7 linked regions of the Coturnix japonica genome follow. The protein of the gene in region 1 interacts with the protein of each later gene in a pairwise test. Links are inferred from orthologs where the notes say so. Each region holds a gene or a part of one and is shown in the gene's direction. Other genes may lie near its edges. The genes, in order: CARD9; MEOX2; TFIP11; PAK5; TCEANC; KIAA0408; keratin, type I cytoskeletal 19.

Region 1 (2,684 bases):
CCTGTGTCCTGTGTTCCTGCATTTGTTCCTAGCTATTGTCTGAGAAAGAATATGGAGTACTTCTCATGATCTTAATTTGTTTGTGTCCCAATAGCTTACTCTTCATGCTCACCTAGATGAAGATACACACCTGACTGAAAGTAAGGTTTCTACTGGGGAAAACATACAGCATGGTTCTTGATGGGGTTTCCCAGTGTTCAGAGGGACAGGAACAGACACTTTTAGTGCAGAAGAGGAATCCACTGACTGAGGGTTTGGTCATTTGGGTGAAATAGGAGCAGGGTATGAGAGTTCGTGGAATTAAATGAGACATTTGAGCACTGCCTTCTGAATTGGGCCAGCCAAAATCACCTGGTACACAATGCCTTCAAAAAGCAGCTCCTGGATGCCTCTTCTTCACACAGTCCTCTCGTGTTTGTGGCTGAGCTGAGAATGGAACAAGCATCCTTCCACTCCAGCTCAACCACATGTCTTTCCCCAGAGACATTTCTTTCCTCTCTCTTATGTTGCAGGCTATTTTCACAAAAGCAGAACCATGTAATTAACACTGTCCCTGGTTCAGTTCTTGTGGCAGCCCCAGTGGAAATGATTCAGCAGCACAGAGAAGAGCAAACAGGGTCCTTTAAAGCTTGAGATTCTCCTTTGAAACATGTTCCAAAAGGAAGGAATCAAGCAGAGATCCTCACCTGAAAGAATTAAGCAATCATTCTCTGAGATGGGAGACTTTTCACAGCAGCTGCCACACTGAAACAAAGCCTTTTCTTACCCTACCTCAGCCAAATCAGAATGACATATCACAGTATCTGATCACTGCATTAGGAGTTGAGCTAAAATACGATCTGTTGAGTATCTGAATGTGCACATCTTCCCTGTGGCCCAACACCAACAAACTGTGATTCATGTTTAGTGGGATTTCTTCTTGTTATCTCCATCATTATTCTTTCAGTGACATTAGGCAGAGGTGCTGCTCTGCACTGGTTCATTTTGCTTCTCCACAAGCAGAAATTAGACAGATGGTGTCTGGTGATCCTATGGGGAATTCCATCCAGTCTAAACAAGACTCAGAGGTCACGCAGAATGAGCAGGGTCTTGTGCAATGGTCACAAGATTGAATACTGAATGTTTCAAGGCCTGGGTTTGGCTTGCTGTGGATGCTGTATACTGCTGGGCAGCTCTTACATGACAGCTATTGCCGTGTGATGAACTGGTGGAAGGAGAAGTTACTTCAACATGGCAGCTGTGACTGAGATTGTGATTTGCTTTTCTGTTTTCTCTCAGAAGAATGCTGCAAAGGCGAAAACCAGCAGTTCAGCAATGGAGAAAGCAATCTGCCTGCAGAGTTGCCCACTGTAAGAGCCCACAATGATTCTCTTTGGTCTGAATGGGGTTTGTAATTACTCATGTGCTTGTTAACAATGGATTTATCACAGAATGACCAGGGTTGGAAGGGACCTCAAGGATCACGTAGTTCCAACCCCCCTGCCTAGCAGGGCCACCAAACACACACATTTACTAGATTTAGCAGGCTTCAGGCCCAAGCAGATGCAATGCAGGCTCTACACACATCCCAGGGGCTGGGCTATGGTAGCAACCAGCTCTTCTTAATCATTTTAAGGCACAAGTTTCCATTTTCTCCTCTTAATTTCTTGGAAATAGATTCAGGGCTGCAAACAAACCCAAGATGGGCTCATCATGTAGAGCACCTCAGCCTTGAAGGGCTCCATCTTTACACAGCAGCCGTGTCTAGTGTGATAATAACATTGATCCAAGGCTTTAGAGCAACTTGCTTTGAGGTTTAGAGCAACTTTGCCTTGTTCCATTCCAGTTCGAGGAGTGCAGCTCTGCCCACGAGGAGCTGTCTGAGAAGGAGAGGAGGAGGATGAAGGATTGCTTTGAGCGTTACCGCAGGTCGGGCCCCATTTCCATCCCATTCCCATCCCATTTCCATCCTATTTCCACCCCGTTCCCGTCCCGTTCCCGTCCCTATCCCACACTCGGTTCCATAGGCCTCACTTCCATTCGGTCCCGTTACCAGGAAGCGCGCCCTCCGCAGAGCCCCCGCAGGCCGCCGCCATGAAGCCGACTGGGAGCCCAGCACCGGCAGCGACAACACGGACACGGAGGGCAGCTAGAGCTGGGCCGAACGTCCCGTTACCGGCCCCGTCAATAAACACTGAGCGCTCACAGCGGTGCCGTTACCGTCGGGATGGGGGAGGCGGCCTATGTGGGGCCGACCGCGCAGCCTCAGCGCCGCCTCTTGTGCGCCTGCGCGGCCGCCATGTTGAGGCGCTTGGTGCGGGTGGCAGCGCGGGCCGCGCTCGGCTCCTCAGCGCCTCCACAGCGGCGGCCATTGCCCCGCAGTGTGTGCACCGCACCGCCGGGCAGCGTGGGGCGGCTGCAGCCATCGCATTACCGCCTGGTGTACACCTGCAAGGTGCGGGGATGGGGAGGGGAGCGTCTCCGACGGTCGGTGTTGTGTTGCTAACCCGTGCCTTGCAGGTGTGCCGGCGCCGCTCGGCTCAGAACATCTCCCGCTTGGCCTACAGCCGAGGAGTCGTCATCGTTACGTGCCCAGGGTGTCACAACCATCATATAATCGCTGATAACCTGGGCTGGTTCTCCGACCTGCAGGGCAAGAGGTGCGTGTGTGTGTGGGGGGTGTGTCACATCATCGGCACATCGCC
Region 2 (2,521 bases), on another chromosome or scaffold:
TTGATTCAGATTTATAACTGCTTTGCTGTCTGCCTTTGTGGGTGTTTATTTGTGTGAAAAATGTGAATAAATGGAGTAGAATTAAGGACTTATCAACTAAGTTTATTTAAACATTTTTGTAATATAGGGAAGTCATAAGTTTTACTGTAAGAAATACTCTTTCAGTCACTTTGCTTCAGCAAATTGAAAGGAAAAAACTTTTACAGTGCTCCACTCAAAACCACTAGTTGACAAAAAACACTGAAATTTTTTCAGTGGAAGTTCCTCTCTGAAGTAGTTAGCTTCCTTTAAAATGTAATTAGAAAAGCATTATAAGTAGCACACCACACTGGGCTACCCAGGAGCTGGGTTCTTCTGTTCAGTCCCTTGTGGGTTCAGTTGTGTCTCTGTTTCTTTATATGTGGAATGGCATTAATGCATTTTTCAAGAGCATGTTGAATTTGCAGTTTTTTCTAAAGGGCTCTGAGGTCTTCCCATTGAGGGTATGACAGCAGTGATGCATATTGCAGCTGGGCCTGCAGCCTTCTTGCTGTAACTCTTTTCCATCCCATGCAGTCATTATCCTTACATCCCCAGGGCACTCATTCCATCCCAAATTTGATCTCTTGACAGTCAGGGAGCCCTTGCTGTACTTTTAACAAAAAAGACGGGGCTATAGTACAGCTAGGAAGATGGTTATCAACCTTCAGTGACACCATGTCTATTTTCTTTTTTTTCCTTTCTTCTTTTACAAAGGTAAAAGTTTGGTTCCAGAACAGACGGATGAAGTGGAAGCGGGTAAAAGGAGGCCAGCAAGGGGCAGCAGCCCGGGAAAAGGAACTGGTGAATGTGAAAAAAGGCACGCTACTCCCCTCTGAGCTCTCTGGCATTGGGGCAGCTGGTCTCCAGCACACGGGGGACTCACTAGCGAATGATGACAGCCACGACAGCGATCACAGCTCTGAGCACGCGCACTTATGATACACAGAGATTGTCCCAGATCCGTTCTCAGGAAAGATGCTTTGCTGGCAAGCCTTACACAGGCATCGTTTACGTATGCAAGTGACTCTGGCAGTGATTTTTAAAGTTGTTATGGAAGATTCAGGCTTATTGTGTCTGTTTTTCTCAATTTTTAGATGGTTTACAGTAAGTGCCATGTCTTAAAGGTGCCTCAAGATTGGAGAAGTGGAAGATGAACTTTGAACATTCCAGATTTGTTTGTCATGTTTATGACAGCGGGCAGGTATTTTTGCTTTAGCTTGCACTGAAAATTACATTGCTCTCAACAGACATTATATTCTGAAAACCACAGTGCCACAAAATCACTATCTAGTGGATAAGAAATGTATTTTAACTCTGTATATATTTACCTTACAGCATTTTCCTGTCTTCACTAATTTTAGCAATGCATTCATATTAGCTGATGGCAATAGTCACTCATGACAATAAATGGCTTTTTGTCTCTTTATTTTTGTTTTGTTTCGCCAAAGACATACAATACATGCAGATACTTTTGTTCAAGTAGAGAAAGTATCTGCTAGGACACGTCCTTGTATGACAGACAAAACAAATGTTATGTTGCATTTACTATCAACTGCTGCTAATAGGGTATTATTAAACTTACCTAGCTCCTCAATTCTTCTTATCTTATAACTGCAAAAAAAAAAAAAAAGATTTTTAGGATCATAAGGATAGTCCAGTAACCTGCCAGAAAATGTTCATATTCAGTGGAAACCCCAGAAAGGATTATTCATTTCTACTTTGTCATCACTGAGTACATTGATTAATACTGACTCTGTGGAAATGTTGCTTCATCTTCAGTTTAAAAAGCAGTAAGCTGGAAGTTATTATCAACTGCTTATGTTGGTAGGAATCAAAATATGAAGGTAACTCACTATTGTGTCCCATGTATAAAACCAAGACACATTTTCTGTTACAAGCTTTTGTGTACATACAGGCAAACACCAAAACTCAAAATTTAATGCAAACCATTGATTGTACTTTGTAAAGAAAAATGTTTAATAAATAATCCTTTTTAAATACTTCTGGTCTTTCTACAGTGATTTCATAGGAAACTTAAGAATATTGTTTTGTAAAAGTCCTAAGGAACTCTGACTTTTTTGGGTCTTTTGGAACTTCATCTGTGAACAACACAAAGCTACATTTTCAAATTTAGGCTTTTAATCTTGGATAAACTTTCCACCTTGATCCATTTGGGAAACTCTTTCCTTCAGCAGGAAAAAGGCATCTAGCAGCTAATGATGTCTTCAGCCAAAAACAACAAGAGTCTGTTCAACCATTTTTCCAGATCTAGAGTGATTATAAAGGGTTATTTTGTTGGATCTTGTTGAAATGAATAAAAATGAATAAAAATCAGGAAAGGGACGCATGCTTACATCACAGTGCCTTTATCTGATAGTGTTGTTCAAGAGAAAGATACTAAAATGCCTCCAAAAAACATAAGGGGTGAATTCAACTGGGTTCTGCAATAGAAGATGCAGAGTGAAAGAAAGTGCAAGTGGTAAATGTGCATGTCCTTGAG
Region 3 (4,205 bases), on another chromosome or scaffold:
AGACAGTTTGTCAAATCTCTTCCTTTTCTGAGCTCTGGAAACAGGATTAATCCAGCAAAATCACAACCAGCCACTTGGGGGTGTTATTACCGGGTGTGGAGAGGGCAGGAGTGGGGTCGTGTATGTGTGTTGAGCCCCAGCAGAAGGGGGGATGTGCCCTGTGTGCATTTCACAAGGGGGTGGTGGTGTTTGCTGCCAGCTTGGGAGAACAGAACAGCTCTCCTTGATTTCTGCAGCAGCTGTTTGTGTGTCAAAGGCTCTGAGTACAAACAGGTGCTGTTGCCCATCACGCAGGGGTTGGAGCTCAGCATCCAACAATTGCTGTCTCACAGTGGTTTTCAAGTTGGCTGTTGGGACTTCCTGACTGCTCAGACTGTTTCTTCCCTTGCAGGCTGCTGCAAACGGCCCAGGGTGGCTCCGTAAAGAAGAGTTTGCAGTTGCACCGATGGAGATCTGTTATCCAAGCATATTGCTTGCTGATATTGCCAAAATGACTGCTGTGCCAGGAATGTATTTGCATTTATTTGCAAAGGCCAAACGTTGTACACTTCGATACCACTCGTCTCCCTTCGCTGGATGCTCCGTGGTGAAAGATCTGTGGAAATGAAGCACGACCGACCCTCCAAAGTGCATTGGAAAAGAGATTTCCTGTTATTTTCAGTGTCTCGTAATGCTGTTCCTTATACGTGCAGATCAGAATAGGTGTCATAACCGTGTATAGAGCATTTGTTGTACAGGTGACAATGCGGCGGACTGTCTCTTCCGTTCACTTGTCATTGACAGATTCTATTTAAGAATTAATATATGAGGTCAATCGTTTCACTCCTGGCTGCACTCATTCGAGTAAACTCTTGGAAAGGGCTGACAATAGCAGGACACGGGGAAATGGTTTTACCAGTTAAAAAGAGGGAAGATTTAGCGTTGCGATTGTTTGGGGGGAAGCTTCTTCACTAGGGAGAGTGGTTGAACCCTAGGAACAGGCTGCCCAGGGAGGGTTGTGGATGCCCCGTCCTTGGAGGTGTTCCAAGGCAGGTTGGAACGTGCCTGGGCTAACGCTGATCTATGGGGATCTATGGGGTCTCTATGCGGGATTCTATGGGTCTCTATGGGCGATCTTATGGGTGGTCGTATGGGTCTCCTGGGGCAACCTGACTAGTAAAGGTGTAATTTTTGGGTGGCCCTGCCAGGCCAGGGGGGCTTTGGAACTACATGATCCTCTGAGGGTCCCCTTCCAACCCGGGTCATTCTGTGATTCGTTTCTCATGACTAGAGAAGTGATTTAATGTCACAGAGCTGCCTCTCGGGATACCTCCCGAGGAGCTGCTCACTCGACAGGGGGCCTAGAGGGGCGCGTTCCTTCTAGCCAGCATCTCTATGGTTAGGGCATGGTTAAAGTGACGTATTTTTCCGTCGCCGGAAGTGATGAGGTTCGGTTCCGTCCCGCCGCCATAAAGAGCGGTAGGTTGGAGCGGGGCCGGGTCGTCGCTCGGATCCATCATGTCGATGTCACACTTATACGGCACGGACGGGGAGGATGGAGTGGAAATGGAGAACTTCGAAGTGTCGGATTGGGACCTTCAGAACGAATTCAACCCACACCGGCATCGCCACCGGCAGACCAAGGAGGAGGCCACCTATGGCGTGTGGGCCGAGCGGGATTCGGACGATGAGAGGCCCAGCTTCGGCGGCAAGCGGTGCGGGATGGACCGGGCCGGGCTATGGGGGATGGTCACATAGGCCCAAAGGGCGTCAGGGCAGCAGGGGGTTGGGTTGTGGGGTATAGTGGGGTAATAATAAAGTGTGTTATAGATATAGGTTAAGCTAATACATAATCAGATAGTCTCCTCTCTCCAGTTCTGATTACATATTCATTACGTTCCCTATGACTCCCCGTTCCCCGCAACCCATTCCTTCATTCCCCCTGACCCATTCCAACTGACCCGCCCCTTAATAGCAGGACACGGGGGAAATGGTTTTAAGTTGAAAGAGGAAGATTTTCAGGTTGGATGTTTAGGGGCGAAGTTCTTCACTAAGGAGAGTGGTAGCCTGGACAGGCTGCCCAGGAGGTTGTGGGATGCCCCGTCCTTGAGGTGTTCAGACGCAGGTTTGGACGGGGCCCTGGGCAACCTGATCTAGTAAAAGGTGTATGTTTGGTGGGCCCTGCCAGGCAGGGGGTTGGAACTCCCATGAACCTTGCAGGTCCCTCCAAACCCGGGTCATTCTGTGATTCTGTGACCCTTGGCCGTTGTTTTTGGGGTGAAATTCTTGCCTGTTTTTTTTTCTTACTTGGTGTTATCTGCTGGTATCGTTCTCCCATGTCAGCGATCATCCTTGCCCGGGGGTATCTAATCTTTACACTTCTTATCTTATTGCCGCCTCTTCTCTGGTTTTTCTTTTCGACTAAGTGTCTGTAATTCCCCTTTTCCCTGCCCTTTTAGAATGGTACACTATCTACAGTTTACCCTTTGTCTTGGTTTCTGTGAAAGTTCCCCTTTCTATTCTATGCAAGAGTGTTACCTTTACCATCCATTTTGGTGGCTCTTGCTCACTCTTACAATTCCCCCTTTTCTTTATACATAGCAGGCCTTTTACCTCTAGATTCTTAAGGGTCTCAAATTACATATATGACTCCGTTCTCTACCCTTATGTCTCACAAACGCTCGTATTGCCTTTGCTGTACAGCTTAAGTGAGGATAGGAATCCGTAGTAGTTATTACGTTTGTAAACAAGCACATAGAGCACTTTACTACTATACAGGTAAAACTTATTAACAGCACCAAGATGGCTATAAATTGGAGATTTACCGATCGAAAATGAGCTAGCTGTTATCAGATAACGCCTACAATTTCGTGGTTATACCAGCTCGAAGTGGAGTTAGTGGTTCCCACAAATCCTTTATCTTTCGCCTGAGAACCTAGTGTTATCAATATGCGCGACACAGGTAAAACACGTTGCTCAGCTCAATCTTCACCAAGGAGGAGGAATACCGATGTTATGTCTTCGAGAGGTCAATGGAAAGCATCGTTTGAAGAACTCGACAGGTCTTAGGTTTTGGTTCAGTCTCTACACTATACGGAGGAATGATAAACAGGTAACCGCTCCCTCGATAAGTGGCTGGAGATTGTGGTTGACCGAGTCCCCACCGCGGTGAAACTTCAATGAAGCCGGCGGAGAGCGCGGGCTTGAGCGAGTCTCGGTGTGTGGAAGGGAATCTACTGATGAAGATGAGAAGCCCCATTTAGTAGCCATGGAGGAAAAATCCCTAAAATGGGAAATAGTTGCCGAAGACAGTTGAAAAAACAGTGAGTGAGCGCAGAGGGAATACTGAGGCGAGTTGGTGCTTTGTTTCAGCCTGGAGAAGAGATAGGTTTGCGGGGTGACCTCATTGCAGCCTTTCACCAATATCTGAAGGGAACATTATTCTGCCCAGAAAGGGAGTAACAGCTCTTGGAAGGGCTGATCAATAGCAGGACTACGGGGAAATTAGGTCTTTAAGTTAAAAGAGGAAGTATTAGCAGTTGGGATGTTAGGGGGAAGTTCTTTAAGCTAGGTAAGAGTGGTTGAGGCCCTGGAAAAGGCTGCCCAGGGAGGTTGTGGATGCGCCCGTCTTTAGTAGTGTTTCCAAGGCAGGTGGTAAAGCGGGGTCCCACTGGGCATTACCTGATCTATGTAAGTTGTGTTATTGTTTTGGTGGCCCTGCTATGGCAGGTGGGGGTGATTCCTTGAGGTCTGCCGACGGTCCTCACTCTGGAGTCATTCTTGTAGTGAATTTCTGTTGTAGATAGTGGATACTATGATCTGTTTGTCGTGAGCTCTAAGAGGATAATTTCTGAGGTTCTTGCGGTATAAACAGAGCTATTCTGAAAGAAATGTGCCTTCATTTGTCGCCAGATGTGGGCAAGTTTAGTGTGGATTAGTATAGTATACTTCCCTTTTACAGAATTAGGGTTATGGTGCTGAATAGGCTCCAAGGTGTTAGGTTCCTGATATTGCCGCAAGGCTTGGTTGTGTTTAAGAGCCGTTTGGATGTGGTGCCTCAGGATATGATTAGGTCAGTAAAGGGTTTTTAGAGTTAGGGCATCTGGTTAGGCTGCGGTTGGACTTGATGATCTTCAAGGTCTTTTCCAACCTGGGTAATTCTATGATTCTAAAGGGAGAACCAATTAACACTGATGTAGCACGTGGGTTATGGCATGAATTTGAGG
Region 4 (3,500 bases), on another chromosome or scaffold:
CCATAGATATGCTTGTAAGGTGGTTGATAGCACCCATCCTTTGCTTTCCTGCATTTGTATGGGCCACTGCTATCACCATGTTGTTCTTTCTGGTGTTCACATGTGGGGAGAGAGGGAGACAGAATGCAATGTGAAGTGCCTAAAACTCAGGGTGCCCAAAGGCACGGGTGGAGGGGAGCAAATAACTGCTACATGTAAAAGCCTAATTTCTGCACTAGTTTGAGCCTCATCTTGTGTCCACATGAAATAACTGAAGTAAAAACTAGTTCAGTCATGCTGAGGGATTCCCGTAGGCAGGGTTTCAGGGTTGCTACAGTGGGGTTACACATGTGCCCAAAGCAGGACGTAGTGAGTGGGTCAGAATGAGACCAACAGCACCCAAATCTTCCAGTGCTGGGGATGAAACTTGAAGCTTCTCAGGCCTGATCCAGTTCTCTCACCTTTACATTTGATTCCCACATCACTGAGACAGGGATTTTCTTCCTGCAGCCATCACAGCCCAGTCTTGTTCATCTTATCGGAGGAGAAAGTTCCACATGTGTAGGAGTTTTTCAGTTGCAGTTTTGATCCATGTCGCTGAAATAATGGCATCTGAACTGCTTTCAGGCCCTGCGTGCAGTGCCTCATTATACTCATTACTTGGGTACTTACTATCTATCTGCATTGCAGATTTCTTCATGGCTGTGTTGTGTAATTATCTTTTTTTAGAAAACCGTCTTCTTTTATGTACTCGAACGAGCAATAGATCTGCCAAACCCCTTGTGCTCCTGCAAAAGAACACCGGGCTCTGCTTCCAAAACTCCCTTCTTCTTCCATTCTTCATCCTGTAAACTGGAAAATGTGGTTAGTGTGGAGGACTTGACGCTGCTGGCTTTGTGTTAGAAATACCAACAATCAGCTTGTGATTCTGTTAAAATTAATACCTATACTGGGGGGGAAAAAGTGGGGTCTGTACTGAATCTGAAAGAAAACAAACTGATGCTGATTATAAACAACTGCTGCTCTACACGATGCAGCAATTGATGGAACTTCCCACTTGACTTGTGCTGGGGCCAGCTGGGCTCGCAGCACATCCCCAGCATGCAGCTGGCTGCATGGCTCATGGACTGGCTGCATGGCTCGTGGGCTCTGGGTGCTGGCTGCCATTGCACTGTGTGGAGCGTAGCTTGCGGTGCCAGGGGCTGCCCTCATGTGGAGCAGCTTCCAAGAAAAGCCCAGGGATAGATTTTAGGCCTCCAGAAGAGTACTTGGAAAAGCTAACGCTTCAGCTGCCTTGAGGAGCAAGCGGTTTCTGGAAGGCAGTGATGCCACAAAAGTCATGCCAGCTGATTTTGGCCCCATTTGGAGGGATTTTCACCTTGGTGTTGTACAGCAGTGGGGGAGGAGTAAGGTCATAATTTTCCAGCATTTTTGTTGGTTTAAAAAAAAAAAGAACACCTGCATCTGAGTATAAGCAGGCACATGATGCAGCAGGAGCTGCTCTCCAGAGTGCTCGTGTATCCCATTATTTCTATTTCAGGTCACCGCCACAGCTACTCAAGGACAATGCTTTCCTCAGTTCCCAAGTTCCCAGCACTGGATGCAGGTCCCTCATCTCTTGCAGCCATTTTGGAGGAGTCTTCCACCTGTCCCTGCCTCCCTCAAGCCCCTTTCTACATACACTACATACGGATGATGGTTTTTGAGGGGCAGACTACAGCACACTTGAAAAATTGTTGGTTGGGGGTATTGCTTTCTAGGAGTGCCAGATGGTGCTCTGTGTGGAAAGAGAAACATGGGATTGTCTGCTCTCTGGCAAACTCAGATCTCAAGCTGATAAAATATTAAGAGTGATACGTATTACTTACGATAGATACTGCACTGAATGTTATTAAACATACATACACTGCAAACTTTGAGTTAATGTATTTGCAATAACAGATTAATTATAAATACTGTAAGATCGGGATTTCAGCTTTCCTGCTGAGTTACAGGCCAGTGATCACCTCTGCACTTTTGCTGGAGGGGTGACAAGGAGCTCTGAGAGGTGATGTGAGTAGCAGGCACTGCTGACAGGCACTGCCACTTTCCTGCCTTCTGTTTGGTGAAATCAGCCATGCTCTTTCCATGCTCATCCTCCATCTCCAACCTCACTTCCAGAACCGTGTTGCTGCCCCATCCCAGCTCCTACAGCAGGAGACAAGGGCTTCTCCCAGAGGGAAGCGTATCTGGTTGGATCAGTGTGTATGTGGTTACTCAGGAGGGGCTTTCTCTTTGTCTTTGCTTTTTAGATCAAATTGTCCGACTTTGGATTCTGTGCCCAGGTGTCCAAGGAGGTGCCACGGAGGAAGTCTCTGGTTGGGACACCGTACTGGATGGCACCAGAGGTGATATCACGGATGCCCTACGGCACCGAGGTACGAGCTGTGAGGCACCCAGAGTGGCACACAGTGCTGCAGTCAAACCCACTGGGCCCGGGGAAAAGACAACAGCTGAGATGCTGTACACAGCTGTGCTGAGCAGCAGCACTTGTGTTTGCCCTAGAGTGTGGCACTGTGTGCTTTTTTAACGTCTTCCTTTGTGAGGTGTAGTCAAATAACTCTGTTTAGAGTGTAATTCCTTTACATAGTTTAGCTTAGGGTACTCTGTGAAAGAAAAATAGCATTGTTTGCACACTGCGGAAGGCCTGTTGTTGATCTCTCAATTAGTCTGGAGCTGCAGATAGAGCCACATACACATCCATGTACCAGACCAGTAGCCAGTGTGCACAGCTGCACCACAAGGCCAAGTCACATCGGTACTTTCACAGCCATGCAGGCAGAGACCCACTGAGCTTCCAGCCAGTTAAAGCTGGGATTTCCCAGCCTCTAGGGGAGTACTAGCAAAGGCAAAGCCACGGGCCCTTAGGATCCCAAATGTAAGAGCCAGTTGGGTGGGGTCAGTTGCCATACTCTGTAGTATTCTCATTGCAATCAGTTCTCTGAGTTGAATGAGAAAAAACTAACTACATTGCAAGAACTGTTTAAAGAACTGCAGGCCCCCTGAAAAAAAGGCAGTCCATATGTTTTTGTCAGAGTCTTTCAGCTGAGAACAGGAAGGGCAGGTTGGTGGGACCCGGCTCAGCACTTCTGCACTGCCACCCTGGGAGTTCTCCTTACTCCAGTCTCAGCACAGACAGCATCTGAGTCCCCAGCCCAGGACACAGCTGTATTTTCTTTGGCCTGGTCAGCTTCTGCTTGATAGAGCAACACTGCTATATATGTGTATATGTGTGTATATACATGTATACATGTACATTTATATACATATATGCTAGATATATGTGAGATACACGCACATGTGTACAAAGGAGTGGAAACAAGCTGTGCAGCCGAGGCCTGGGATGGGAGATGATGCATCTTCAGAACGCACAGAAGGGCTCTGTTTGGCCCAGGCAGGATGTGCTCCTACCTGCAAGTGAGGGCACCCTGCAGGCACTGGCATTTGCCCCAGCGTGTGGTTTTATAAGAGATATTTCAGGG
Region 5 (4,220 bases), on another chromosome or scaffold:
AATACACAACATCTTCAGAACTGTTAGAAGAAAGATTTCTATTTCATTAAAAGGAAACACATTGTTCTGTGATTCTATTATTGCACTGTTCTCAGGAACTGCAAACTCTTTCATAAATGTACATCTAAGTTAATAAACAAAGTAATCATTGTGGCAATCTTGCAAGTTTCTTGTCTGATGGCACAGATTAACTGTTCACCAATTGTCTAACCAACATTTTCCCAAATATTTCTGTGGATATTTAACAATTTATCAGCTGGCAGAGTATCTTATCTTGTTTAATAGAAGTCTATTCTTTTTAGAGAAGTAGATACTTAGCACAGCCAACATTGAAATCTCAAGGAAAGCAAGCTGTTACTGTAGCACTGATTTTATCCTGGAAAACCCTGCAAAAACACAAAGATATGTATATATACCATTACACAAGTATATGAATATAACAAGTATATCATGTTTATCCCTTGGTTTACTTAGGAGTAACTGAAAAAGCATTATTGCAGAATCATAGAATTGTAGGGGCTAGAAGAGACCTCTAGAACTTTTCTAGTCCAACCCCCCTGCCAAAGCAGGCTCCATAGATCAGGCTGCACAGGTAAGAGTCCAGGTGGGTCTTGAACATCTCCAGAGGAGAATCCACAACCTGTCTGAGCAGCCTGGTTCAGTGCTCTGTCACCCTTACTGTGAAGTTCTTACACACATTTGTACGTAACTTCCTATGTTTCAGTTTGTGACCATTTCCCCTTGTCCTATCACCACACATTGCTGATAAGAGTCTGGCCTCATCCCTTTGCCTCCCGCACCTTAGGTATTTATAGACATTGATCAGATCCCCTCTCAGTCTATTCTCAAGGCTGAACAGACCCAGGTCACTCAGCCTTTCCTCATAAGAGAGATGCTCCAGCCCCTATATTTTCTGGAACAGTGATTAATTAGACCAAACATAGTTTAATGGAGAAGGCTGTGAGTAAGGAACCTCCCTCAAATAGTGGCATCCTTTGTTCTGATCTCTGTTCCTGGGAAGACTCCTCACACAGGGCTAATCATGCTCCTTGTGTCTTCCCTGCTAAAGGAAGACTGCGCCAGTTCTGAAAAGCCATGCTGTCTTCTTCCAGTTTTTCAGCTCCTCTTCTGTACAACTTCAGACTTGTCCCACACTTTGTTGCTGCACAAAAACAAGGCAAAAAAGGAAGCCTGACTTCAACTGCGTAACCAGTTGTGTATAATACACGGAACGAGGTTGACCACTGTAAAAGCATTACGTCACTCACGTATTTACCAAAAGGGCTGTTTCTGCCTGGGAATCGTCCTTGGTAAGAGGCAGGAGCCTTTCTTGTCAGTAGAGGGCAGCATAGGCCTCATCAGTGAATAAAACCAAGCTCATTTACGTAAAAATCATACGGATTTTCACCGTAATTGCGAATAAACCCTATCATACGCCCGTAAGTTTGCCAGAAATACACATCTTTCCCAGAATCACTGTGAATACTCTGCGTACAATGCATGCGAAAGAATAAAAGGCCGTGGCATTGCTCCCCCCGGGTCCCGCCGGCACCAGGCCGCGCTGCCCCCCCCCCCTACCCGGCCCGCTCGCAGACATGGCGGAGCGCAGCGCGGCCTGGGAGGTGGGGAGGGTTGCGCCGCATTGAGGCCCAGCGCGGAGGTAACGGGGTACGGGTCCGTATTGCTGCATATTCCCCAGCGACACAGCTTTCTCTTAACCGATATTGCTCGAGGGTGAGGCCGAGGGAGGCGGTGGGGCCTGGCGCAGTGTCCGAGCACCGCGGGATGGGTGCTGGGCGGGCCCGGTTGGGGGAAGAAGAGGCGTCAGTCAGTGTGTGACAGGTGACAGGAAGAGGGGAAATGGACTTGGATGCATTTTTACTCTGTCTTGGTTTATCAGTGGAAGTTTTCTGCACTAAGGAAAAGTGGACTATGGTTTTGAATCTGTGAAGGTGTATGGCTGGAGCAAGGCACTTACCCCAAATGATTTTGGAGAGGGCAGGTTTTTTTCCCCAAGGGTTAGCTTCTTAGTTTTAAAAATGAGACAGTGGAGATTTGGGTTAGATCTGAGGAGGAAGTTTTTCACACAGAGGGTGGTGATGCACTGGAACAGGTTTCCCAAGGCGGTTGTGGATGCCCCATCCCTGGAGGCATTCAAGGCCAGGCTGGATGTGGCTCTGGGCAGCCTGGTCTGGTGGTTGATGACCCTTCACATAGCAGGGGGGTTGAAACTACATGACCATTGTGGTCCTTTTCAACCCAGGCCATTCTATCATTCTATGATTAGTTAGCAGAAAATCTCTCACACTGGTTTGTTTGTTTGTTTTTCCCCCATGCAGTGATTTTCATTTTTAAAACCTTTGGATTCAGTACAATGTTTTGGGATGACTGTATTTCAAACCTGAGGTAGTCTGTTTTATTTATTTTTTTGTTTGTTTGTTTGTTTTCTCCTTAAAAGCAAACTGACTTACTAGATTTTTATTGATCACCATTGCTAATTCTTGTACATGCAGTGACTCATTATGCCATGTGGTCAAGTGTGAGAGATGGTAATGATTTGGCAAGAAAGTACCTCAGCAGCACAGTATTACAGAGCCTAATTGAAAATGCAAACCAGTTTCTATCTTCACTTAGAATTCAGATGGATGTTCCCATACTTTGCTGAAATTAAGCAGAATGGAAATGCCTTGTGTTACTTCTTGGAACAAGGAAGACAGCAGAAAACTGCTGACTGTTTGTTCAGCAGCATTTGCCAAATAGCATTAAATCAAGTGGGGTAGTGGTAAAATTCCAAATGTTTTAAATGTCGGATGAAAAAACAGTGTATGGCACAAAGACTGGATGAGGGATTAAAACCTTCCCTCCAGTCTGTGACCAGGCACCTTTGGGCCTACAGGGTGTTTTGTTGTTGTTGTTGTTGTTTGTTTGTTTGTTTTTTGAGGGTTTATTTTGCCAAATATTATGCAAATAGGTATCTTAAAAATGTAAAATTTCCTAAAGGCCATAGGGAAATCGTTTTATCCCCAAGGCTGGGCTTTCTCATTGTGCACTATTACACAAGGCTGCATGGGTTTGCTGTACTACAGCCCCCTCAAGTGGTAAAACATTTTCCCATTTAAAACTGCAGCCAACTCCACCACCTCACTGTTGTGCCATGCTCCAGAGAGGTGAGTAAGTTTCATTGTGTAAGCTTCATAACTAATAATGGATATTTGTAGACTACCAGCAGTTGTTTTAGACTTCTGTTTTCCTATTTGCTGAATAACTTGCTTCAATCAGTGCTTTTGCATATCTGACAGCAGAAAAAACAACAACCCCTTGGCGGCATGCAGGGTGTCTGACTGTTCCCTAGATTAGAACAAGCTTACAGAATTCCATCTACAAAACAACCAAAGAAAGTATTCATGTACCTGGGAGAAGAACATAGGCTGTAGATTTTTGGTTTTGCCATTATGCTGCAAAACATCAAAGCCCTGTTACACAGCAGAAACATCAGTGTTCAACGAATGTGTGAGTAAGAAAGAAAGAAAGGCTTACTCTGCTTAGGTTCAATGTGAACTTTGGCTAGAAAATACCCTCCAGTGTTGCCACTGCATCAGTAATTCTTTGTTTCTCCCTCTAAGAACATGGAAAACATGCAGTAGACTCAGAGTATTTACTTGTATCTGGATTCTAGAAATGTTCCTTGACATACTGACTTAATATGAAATGCTCTGCAGGATTCCCTGTGTTAAACACTCTGCCTCAACCTTTGAAGGAAGCCAGAAGTTTTAAAATGTACTGGGTTTGTGCTTGTTCTCAACATCAGCCTTGGTGATTAAAATCCAATTGCCACTTGTCTTACAGAGCAGCAGTGCAAAAACAGCATTTTTAGTTTCTCATCACACTGCCTTTTAATATGGAAGCTGAGATGAAATCTGTGATTGTCTAGGTAGTGGAATACTTTATGGTTATGGGTATGTATCACTTTTCAGCTTGAAGTATTTTAAGGTCTTTTGAAAACTGGGTACACACAGCAAAGCAGTGCCGTGCTGTGTGTACAATGCTTTCTCTTCAGAAACCCTTCTTCTCATTTGTCATTGATGAAGGCATACTTATTACTTTTACTTGGTTGTTTCCCTGCTGGTTGTTTCTTGTGTTTCTACTTGCAGATAATGAATATCCCACTCCGCTGAAGATGTTAATTACAGATTTCAATTCTGGTCTTGTCATGTGTTTTG
Region 6 (3,500 bases), on another chromosome or scaffold:
TGACATCCATTTACTCACATCTCCAGGCTTGTCCTATCAGTTCAAGCATAGGCTCACAAGCGTAGAAGAGTATGGCATAACTAATTAATTTATATTTGGCTGAACTGTATTTGCAAAAGTTTAGAAGTACTGCCTCTGCCAACATTCTTTCTTAATGAAAATAGAAACAGATGTTTGTTTGTTTTTTAAGTATACTGTAAGCTACAGATTTTGTAAAAGGCCTCAGAGAAGGAAAAATCTGTTTTCCTGAAGAGCTCCTTGCCCTAAGGACACAAATGAGTGTGTCCTTCACTGTCTCAGAAATGAGAAGGCAAGTGTTTAGAGCTGAGGAACTTAGATGGATTCAGATTGTCATCTGGTGTGCCTTACACTGTCACACATTCACAGACTTCAGTGGAGGTATGTGGATTTAAACAGCTGAGAATCTGAGCATGTAGATTTTCTTCTGCATGATTTTATGTCAGCCTTGCAGTGATGCAACCTCTTGCTTAGCAGAAACATCTTCGTTACAGCACAGAGGAAAACACATGAAGCCTTTGATTTCTTTCTCATCCAGTGTAAGTTTGATAAGAAAATGGAATTTCATCAATAAATATGTAAGGAGGAAATAATGAGGAGAGAATGACTGAATTTGCATTGATGCAAGCCCAGAATAACTTTACTAAGACAGCTGGATTATTTTCTCCATAGATTCACATTCTGTGTTGTTATTTATGTTGTATAAATTAAGTGCAGAATACTGCCTGGTTAGGGGGTTTCATTCAGCAGCTTTCATGTCACAAAGATGTGAAAAACTACACCTGGCATGAAACATGGAGGTTTATCTTCATTATTTCAGATTTATAGTACTGTAGCTAAGATCAAGGTCTGTTGTTTTTCCTGTACATATAAGGCTCAGCATGCAGGCACGGCACCGCATTAATAAATAATCATTCTGAATTATTTACCAACTGTAAACAGCTTTGTGCTGTGCTAACAGAAAGAGAGCTCTTAGCAAAATGTGTCTTCTGAAATGGAAGCTATCAAAAATTACCTAGAAAGTACATAGATCATACTCTAAGGTGCTGAGAGCTCATTCACAAGACTTCCAAAAATGAAGGGAAATGAAAAATGAGTGTTCAGTTTTAACTTGCATTAACATTTTGTCCCTTTCCTTGTGTCTGACACTTGTCTCTGCATATTTTAAACTGCAACTGAAGTGAGAATCCCTATACATAGAAATGCCTGTTCTTTTGCATTCTGCACATTACTTTGTTCCTTTTAATAGCATCAGACCACCTGCTCTGTGGCCACCCTGAATGTCTTCCTAGATTCCCAGTGCATTCTCTGAAGGACTTTTCTCCTGTAACTCATTAAATCAAGGATGATTGCTTTTGTGTTCTAGATATCTGTGCCAGCTAAATGTTCAAATGGGAAGGGTTTCTCACGGCCAGCCCGACCAGCAAATAGACGCCTGCCTTCCAGATGGGCATCCAGATCACCATCAGCACCTCCAGCTGTGAGAAGGACAGCATACAACTGCTCTGTTTCCTTTCGGTCAGAGACCTCAGTAGTTTGAACCCAGAAACGGGTCGGATGGTGTTGTGAAAGCTCTGCACCTCATTTTAACTCTGTTCAGTATGTGTGGTAGCAACCAGATCTACACCGTCCTATCTTGTTCAAGAACGACTCCATCACATGCTGGACGAAATGGTTTGAATCTTAGGTCATCATCATGGTCTTCAGTGTTTTTATTGAGAGGAAACAATGATACCCCTGGTTTTCTCCTTTTCTTTCTTTCTTTTGTTTTTTGGTACTAGCTCACAGAGAATTTATTTTGAGTGGCATCTGTCTTAATTTGCCAATCAATTTTGAGTTGAAACAATGTATAGTGCTGTATATTCTGACTCTTCTGCAAACAGCAGAACATAAAGCTGTATGCATGATCATGTGTTTGTAGGTGCATGTGTTGGACTAGGAAGTATACAGGTCTGTATTTAGAAGAGACAAACTGTGCTAGCGTTGACATTGAAATTACAACAATATGCCAACATATATATATATATTTACTTTGTGTTTATTTTAAAAATTTTGAAATATACAGTCCTGATGACATTTATATTTTGTATATCTTTTACATAGGTTCACAGGTGTAGTATTTAATGTACAAAATCTAAATATGCATTTTTGTGACTCTAATTGCAGCGATTATGCCTTGCACAATATGTATCTGAAGCAGACTAGCTCGACTGATTTGTCAGTCATGCTTCATGGCATCCTTGTTCAGTTTCCTAATCCTTATAATACTAGGTCAAAATACCTAAACATATTTTTTCTGAATTAAAATATTATATGATTTGTAGTACATTAGCCTTTTTCAACACCAGAAACATTCCTGAAATGTTCTGATCTCTTTAAAAGTCTTTAAGCGTGCCATTATATATATAGCATACTGTAAACAGTTCAGCACTTCCAACCAGTGTAACATACAATTTATGAAGGGAAAAAAAGGGTTGAATGTGCTCAATTCTGTAAAACTTATTTTTCCTTCTAGCATTATATTTTGAGGTTTGGCAAAGTCAGAGAACAATGGACTTGTTTACTTTCACTCAAGGCAGGAGAACAAGGACTGTTGATCCCAGTGCTACAGACGCATGCCTTTTTTACTCTCCTCCTAGACTAGAGTGCCTGAGCCGCTTGCTAGCAGCATGCTGCTCCTTGACTGACTTCTGACAGTCAGTAATGAAGTTTACTTGCATTCTAGCAACACCTGCATCTAGTATGGAAGTACTGTATAGAGATCTCATCACAGTAGTGCCAGAAATCCTCGACAAGTGGTATCGGAAGTGTTATTGCCATCGCCTGACTCAGTATTTTGGGCCATCACAATGATGTATACAGAGCCTGGCTTGTTCCTCCCCACAGTGTGAAAGAAGTACGGATACTGACCAGACTCTTGCTGAAAAGATGAAGTCCTACATCCTGGAATTTTCTGCACCCTCTCCTAGGCTGTTGCTGGATGCGCAGGGTAGTAATGATGATAAATGGTACCTTTAAACAGCATGTCTAGGTTAAAAGGAGTAAAGAGGCCCTTCTTCAACATTAGCCTAATCTTGTCTTGCAAGTTTTTTTCTTCTTCTGGAGAAACAGTGTGTTCAAAGGAGTTTCAAAAATCATCCCAAGCTCCATTAACATGTGCGTCTTCATATGTGAATGTAAAAAGGAATTCAGAGAGAGTGTAGGCTTTTGTCCTAGTGAATTGTATGTTTGGCAATATATGGAAAATTAGTTGTGCTTAATTTGTTAGTGATATGTTGTCTTATCCCAGTCATGCTGAGAACCCTCACCTTTTTTCTTCTTTTTAGGGCCTATTCTTCTTTACGCAACTACTTTTTTGCAGAGTAAAAACGCAGCCAGCCATATGTTCCGAGCAATGTACCCACTATTGTAGGATCAATAACTCTTCAGGCATGCCAGTGTTGGATTGAGCAGGCAGTAGTGTCATACATCCAAAATTACAT
Region 7 (3,978 bases), on another chromosome or scaffold:
GAGCTCGGTGGAAGCACCTGCAGGATGCAGAGCTCTGCCCTGCCCCGGCTGCTGCCACAGCTGCTCATTGTGTCCGTCCTTACAGCAGCGTCTGCTGCAGAGCCCTGGAGGTTTGCAGGGATGAAGGGGTGGTGGGGAAAGAAAGAGAAAGCAGAAGAGATGCAAGAGCCGCTCACTGCTGGGGATGCTGATGGAGGAGCCTGCAGGGATAAAAGCACCATTGCTTTTGAAAATTCACCTTGGAGAATTGGACTTAAACGCTGGAGAAACAACATTTTCATTACTCTCAGAGCCCAGAAAACAACGTGATTGGGTTTCTACTGTTTACTTCCCTCTTTGGTAGTAACAAAAGTACTGAAGGTATAATCAGGCCTTTGTTCCTGCTGCTGCTGACTCCGCAGGTGACACTCAGGGAAGTTTAATGTCTGTCTGCTACAAACGCAGCAACAGTTCCTAGAAAAAGATCCTTGTTCTATGCAAAAAGGGACTCCACACACAGCACATTCTGTCAGATCCTCCCTTGAACTGCTGGCCCAAAAGGAAATGAGATCAAAGAAACAAACAAGATCTGTAACGGAACAGAACAGTTCAGTGGGTTCATCAGCTCAAGGCCCCAGTCCAATCCCCAGAGCACATCAGGGCTAAGGAACCACCAACCCACATCACTGAGGGCACTGACCAAACGCCTCTCCAACACCACCAGGGGATCCATGGATCCCCCTGCCCGGGAAGGCTGCCCAGCAAAGAAACTGTTCCTTCTGAAGGAGGGATTTTTCCTGAGGGAAAGAAAGAAAACAACCGGTAGGACCGTGCTGTGCTAAGGTCCATGCAGCTGTTCACCATGTGGGCTCCTTCCAGGCTCCGTTATCAGCCCACAGTAAGCGATCTAATCACTCCGTGTTTTAAGTCCCCTGAGGCTGCAGAAGCAAGTTGCTGTGTGACTGCGCTGGGGATGCAGCACAGGCTGCAGTGGGGCTGTGGCCATTCCCCTCAGCAGAGCAACACCTCCCCTCAATCCCACCTTCCTCCTCAGCAGCCCAGGGGGAGGGAATCAGCTCCTTGCGTGAAGGTATTTGGGAATGAAACCCAGCTCACTTCTCAGCAACTGACCAATGGGAGGAATTCCTGTGTTGGCAGAGGACTTACGGCCGATAAATTCCACGGGTCTCAGATAACACATTCTGCAGACAACTCCCATTGTCACAGGCATAAAAGAGGTGGGGTGGGAGAAAGGAGCACACATTCCTGCTTCGGGACCACAAACCGCAGCTCACTTCAGGCCCTTGGCATTTCTCCCTATGGCGACTTACAGCTTCAGACAAACCACCTCCTCGGTGGCAGGGGGACCCGGCGGCCGCTCGCTCCGTTTGGGTGGTGGCTCCTTCAGGGCTCCGAGCATCCACGGGGGATCCGGTGGCAGGGGTGTGTCGGTCTCCTCCGCTAGGTTTGTCTCTTCTGGCCTAGGAAGCGGCCTGGGCGGTGGATATGGAGGTGCCTTCAGCAGCAGCTTTAGTGCAGGCTTCGGTGGTGGCTATGGGGGCGGTCTGGGCTCTGGTGATGGTCTCCTCTCAGGGAATGAAAAGACAACGATGCAAAACCTGAATGATCGCCTCGCGTCCTACCTGGACAAAGTGCGTGCACTGGAAGAAGCCAACTCAGATCTTGAAACTAAAATCCGTGAGTGGTACCTAAAACAAGGACCGGGCCCTGCCCGAGACTACAGCCCTTATTACAAGGTTATTGAAGACCTCCGAGACCAGGTAAGTGGTTGTATTTACTAAAAAGCACCCAGGAATGAAGCGTAATCCAAACAGAAAACCTCCCTAGGAAAGGAGCCGGAGGGCAGCGCAGTCTGTGAAAAGGAGGGAGATGAAATGAAAACTCACTCCTTGGTCAGGGCAGGGAAAGAAATGTGCAGCATGAATTCATCTATGATTTGAAGCGTTAAGTTTGGAAGTGGCAGGCAAAAAAGACGCGCTTCTTTGAAGGGATTGCTGCTAAGGAACATTTCCTTCACGGCTTTTCATGATTAATTATCAGAGTCAGTAAACACCAAATCGTTCATTTTAGGGAAAATAATGTGCTCAGAACTTTACCAATGCAGTCTGAACTGAGACTGCTGGCAACACACAAACATGCCATTTATTTTGCAATCATACAGTCCTTGCAGTCACTGCCCTGCTAAGAAAACACGCAGACAGAACCAGTTCTGCCCAGAACTGCACTTTGCGTCCTTTGCTTTTCTCCAGGAAGCACTGGTTGTGCCTCACACCTACAGCAGCTCCTACCCACTGGCCCAGCCAAGGCCTCTCCCTCTGCGAGAGGGGATTCCAGCTTTAAGCCCTTCATAGGACAGAAGTAAGGGGACCGACCCATAGCTGACAGCAGTGGCAGAAGTGCTGTGATCAGTCTGTGCTGTGTATTTGCTACAGATAACCTGATATTTTCCTACTGACACCAAACAAAATGCACTCATCTTTGGTAGAGCTATGGGTGAAATATAATCATAACTCCTCCACCTTTAGCATAAGAAAGAACAGAGTTGTTTCCACCTCAGCAATGAACTCTCACTGATTGCAGATCCTTGCTGCCACCATCGACAACTCCAAGGTTGTCCTGCAGATTGACAACGCCAGACTGGCTGCTGACGACTTCAAGACCAAGTGAGTAAATTCTGACATGGAGACAAAAATCCGTATTGAGGCAAAGGGCAGCGGCTGTGAAAAAGCAAAGGAACGCATGTAAAATCTCTGTATTAACACGACTTTGATCCTGTCATTGCAGCTCAGCCCTTTATGCACTGCTGAAAACATCATCTATACTAGAAAAAATGTTCCACCATGTAAAATACGAGTAGAAAAGTTTCATGTTGGACAACATTTGCTATATTATAGTTCCTATGGTGCCAGACACACCTCTAACAAATAACACATTTCACATTAGCCTGAAGAGTTCTGTTTTGCTTTTTGAAGGTTTGAAACTGAGCAAGCTCTTCGCATGGGCGTGGAGGCCGACATCAACGGGCTGCGCAGGGTGCTGGATGAGCTGACGCTGGCGAGGACCGACCTGGAGCTGCAGATTGAGAACCTGAAGGAGGAGCTGGCCTACCTGAAGAAGAACCACGAGGAGGTAAAGAAAAAGCACTGTGTGGAGTGCCCCAGGATTGCCATGGGCTCTGCCAGTTTCCCAGTGCAGTTGTTTAGAGCCTTGCAGAAAGGAAGGATGGTTCATAATAATCTCATCCACAACTGTGCCCTCTTTTGTCTTCGTCTGTTATGACAAAATAGGAAATGAGTGCCCTGGGAGGACAGGTAGCCGGGCAAGTCAGTGTGGAAGTGGACTCTGCTCCAGGCATTGACCTGTCCAAGATCCTGGCCGATATGAGAGACCAGTATGAACACATGGCGGAGAAGAACAGGAAGGACGCTGAGGCCTGGTTCCACAGTAAGGTATCAAAAGCTTCATTCTAAATAAATGCTAATTTTTAAATCAGAAAGGAAACCAAGTGACTCTGTAACTCACAGAACACCAAAGTGAAAGCCTTATGAGCTCCACTCAGTGGCCCTACGTGTCTCCTGTGGCGTTTTCCCTTTTTCAGACCGAAGAGCTGAACCGTGAGGTTGCCGTCAATACCGAACAACTGCAGAGCAGCAAGTCCGAAGTCATTGACCTGAGACGCACCCTCCAAGGGCTGGAAATAGAGCTGCAGTCCCAGCTCAGTATGGTATGTGAAAATTCGCACTGCATCAACGCAGACACCCTAAAATACATCTGTACTGCTCCTCCTGCAAGCAGCTCAGCATCCCTTCCCTCCCACTGTGCCCACAGAAAGGCGCGCTGGAGAGCAGCCTGGCAGACACTGAAGGGCGTTACGGAGCACAGCTGGCGCAGATTCAGGACATGATTGGCAGCATTGAGCTGCAGCTGGCGGAGCTCCGAGCTGATATGGAGTGCCAGAACAACGAATACAAGATGCTC

What was found.
Region 2: the proteins of CARD9 (region 1) and MEOX2 interact in binary tests that used the Homo sapiens proteins (3 or more experiments, as listed by UniProt). The two-hybrid records come from large-scale screens. The link is inferred for Coturnix japonica from reciprocal best matches to the Homo sapiens genes CARD9 and MEOX2.
Region 3: the proteins of CARD9 (region 1) and TFIP11 interact in binary tests that used the Homo sapiens proteins (3 or more experiments, as listed by UniProt). The two-hybrid records come from large-scale screens. The link is inferred for Coturnix japonica from reciprocal best matches to the Homo sapiens genes CARD9 and TFIP11.
Region 4: the proteins of CARD9 (region 1) and PAK5 interact in binary tests that used the Homo sapiens proteins (3 or more experiments, as listed by UniProt). The two-hybrid records come from large-scale screens. The link is inferred for Coturnix japonica from reciprocal best matches to the Homo sapiens genes CARD9 and PAK5.
Region 5: the proteins of CARD9 (region 1) and TCEANC interact in binary tests that used the Homo sapiens proteins (3 or more experiments, as listed by UniProt). The two-hybrid records come from large-scale screens. The link is inferred for Coturnix japonica from reciprocal best matches to the Homo sapiens genes CARD9 and TCEANC.
Region 6: the proteins of CARD9 (region 1) and KIAA0408 interact in a two-hybrid assay, tested with the Homo sapiens proteins (2 studies listed by BioGRID and IntAct). The two-hybrid records come from large-scale screens. The link is inferred for Coturnix japonica from reciprocal best matches to the Homo sapiens genes CARD9 and KIAA0408.
Region 7: the proteins of CARD9 (region 1) and keratin, type I cytoskeletal 19 interact in binary tests that used the Homo sapiens proteins (3 or more experiments, as listed by UniProt). The two-hybrid records come from large-scale screens. The link is inferred for Coturnix japonica from reciprocal best matches to the Homo sapiens genes CARD9 and KRT19.

Annotation. Positions count from the first base shown.
Region 1 is NC_029532.1:6,407,915-6,410,598, forward strand, and holds the end of CARD9 (caspase recruitment domain-containing protein 9), read left to right. Parts: exon of another isoform or gene 1-94; coding exon 95-140; exon of another isoform or gene 141-1,278; coding exon 1,279-1,349; exon of another isoform or gene 1,350-1,825; coding exon 1,826-1,908; intron 1,909-2,013; exon of another isoform or gene 2,014-2,035; coding exon 2,036-2,132; 3' UTR 2,133-2,184; downstream 2,185-2,684. Other genes in the region: DNLZ (DNL-type zinc finger protein), read left to right, coding at 2,207-2,434, 2,500-2,639. UniProt on the Homo sapiens protein: Adapter protein that plays a key role in innate immune response against fungi by forming signaling complexes downstream of C-type lectin receptors.
Region 2 is NC_029517.1:25,705,454-25,707,974, reverse strand, and holds the end of MEOX2 (homeobox protein MOX-2), read left to right. Parts: intron 1-735; coding exon 736-960; 3' UTR 961-2,021; downstream 2,022-2,521. UniProt on the Homo sapiens protein: Mesodermal transcription factor that plays a key role in somitogenesis and somitogenesis and limb muscle differentiation. Required during limb development for normal appendicular muscle formation and for the normal regulation of myogenic genes.
Region 3 is NC_029530.1:6,267,218-6,271,422, reverse strand, and holds the start of TFIP11 (tuftelin-interacting protein 11), read left to right. Parts: upstream 1-1,405; 5' UTR 1,406-1,497; coding exon 1,498-1,694; intron 1,695-2,438; coding exon 2,439-2,442; intron 2,443-4,205. UniProt on the Homo sapiens protein: Involved in pre-mRNA splicing, specifically in spliceosome disassembly during late-stage splicing events. Intron turnover seems to proceed through reactions in two lariat-intron associated complexes termed Intron Large (IL) and Intron Small (IS).
Region 4 is NC_029518.1:12,086,702-12,090,201, forward strand, and holds part of PAK5 (serine/threonine-protein kinase PAK 5), read left to right. Parts: intron 1-2,270; coding exon 2,271-2,396; intron 2,397-3,500.
Region 5 is NC_029516.1:110,838,941-110,843,160, reverse strand, and holds the start of TCEANC (transcription elongation factor A N-terminal and central domain-containing protein), read left to right. Parts: upstream 1-1,420; 5' UTR 1,421-1,439; exon of another isoform or gene 1,440-1,534; intron 1,535-1,551; exon of another isoform or gene 1,552-1,674; intron 1,675-2,194; exon of another isoform or gene 2,195-3,167; intron 3,168-4,220.
Region 6 is NC_029518.1:53,664,825-53,668,324, forward strand, and holds part of KIAA0408 (uncharacterized protein KIAA0408 homolog), read left to right. Parts: intron 1-1,384; coding exon 1,385-1,558; 3' UTR 1,559-3,500.
Region 7 is NC_029542.1:4,201,966-4,205,943, reverse strand, and holds the start of keratin, type I cytoskeletal 19, read left to right. Parts: upstream 1-1,178; 5' UTR 1,179-1,298; coding exon 1,299-1,760; intron 1,761-2,580; coding exon 2,581-2,663; intron 2,664-2,972; coding exon 2,973-3,129; intron 3,130-3,287; coding exon 3,288-3,449; intron 3,450-3,598; coding exon 3,599-3,724; intron 3,725-3,828; coding exon 3,829-3,978. UniProt on the Homo sapiens protein: Involved in the organization of myofibers. Together with KRT8, helps to link the contractile apparatus to dystrophin at the costameres of striated muscle.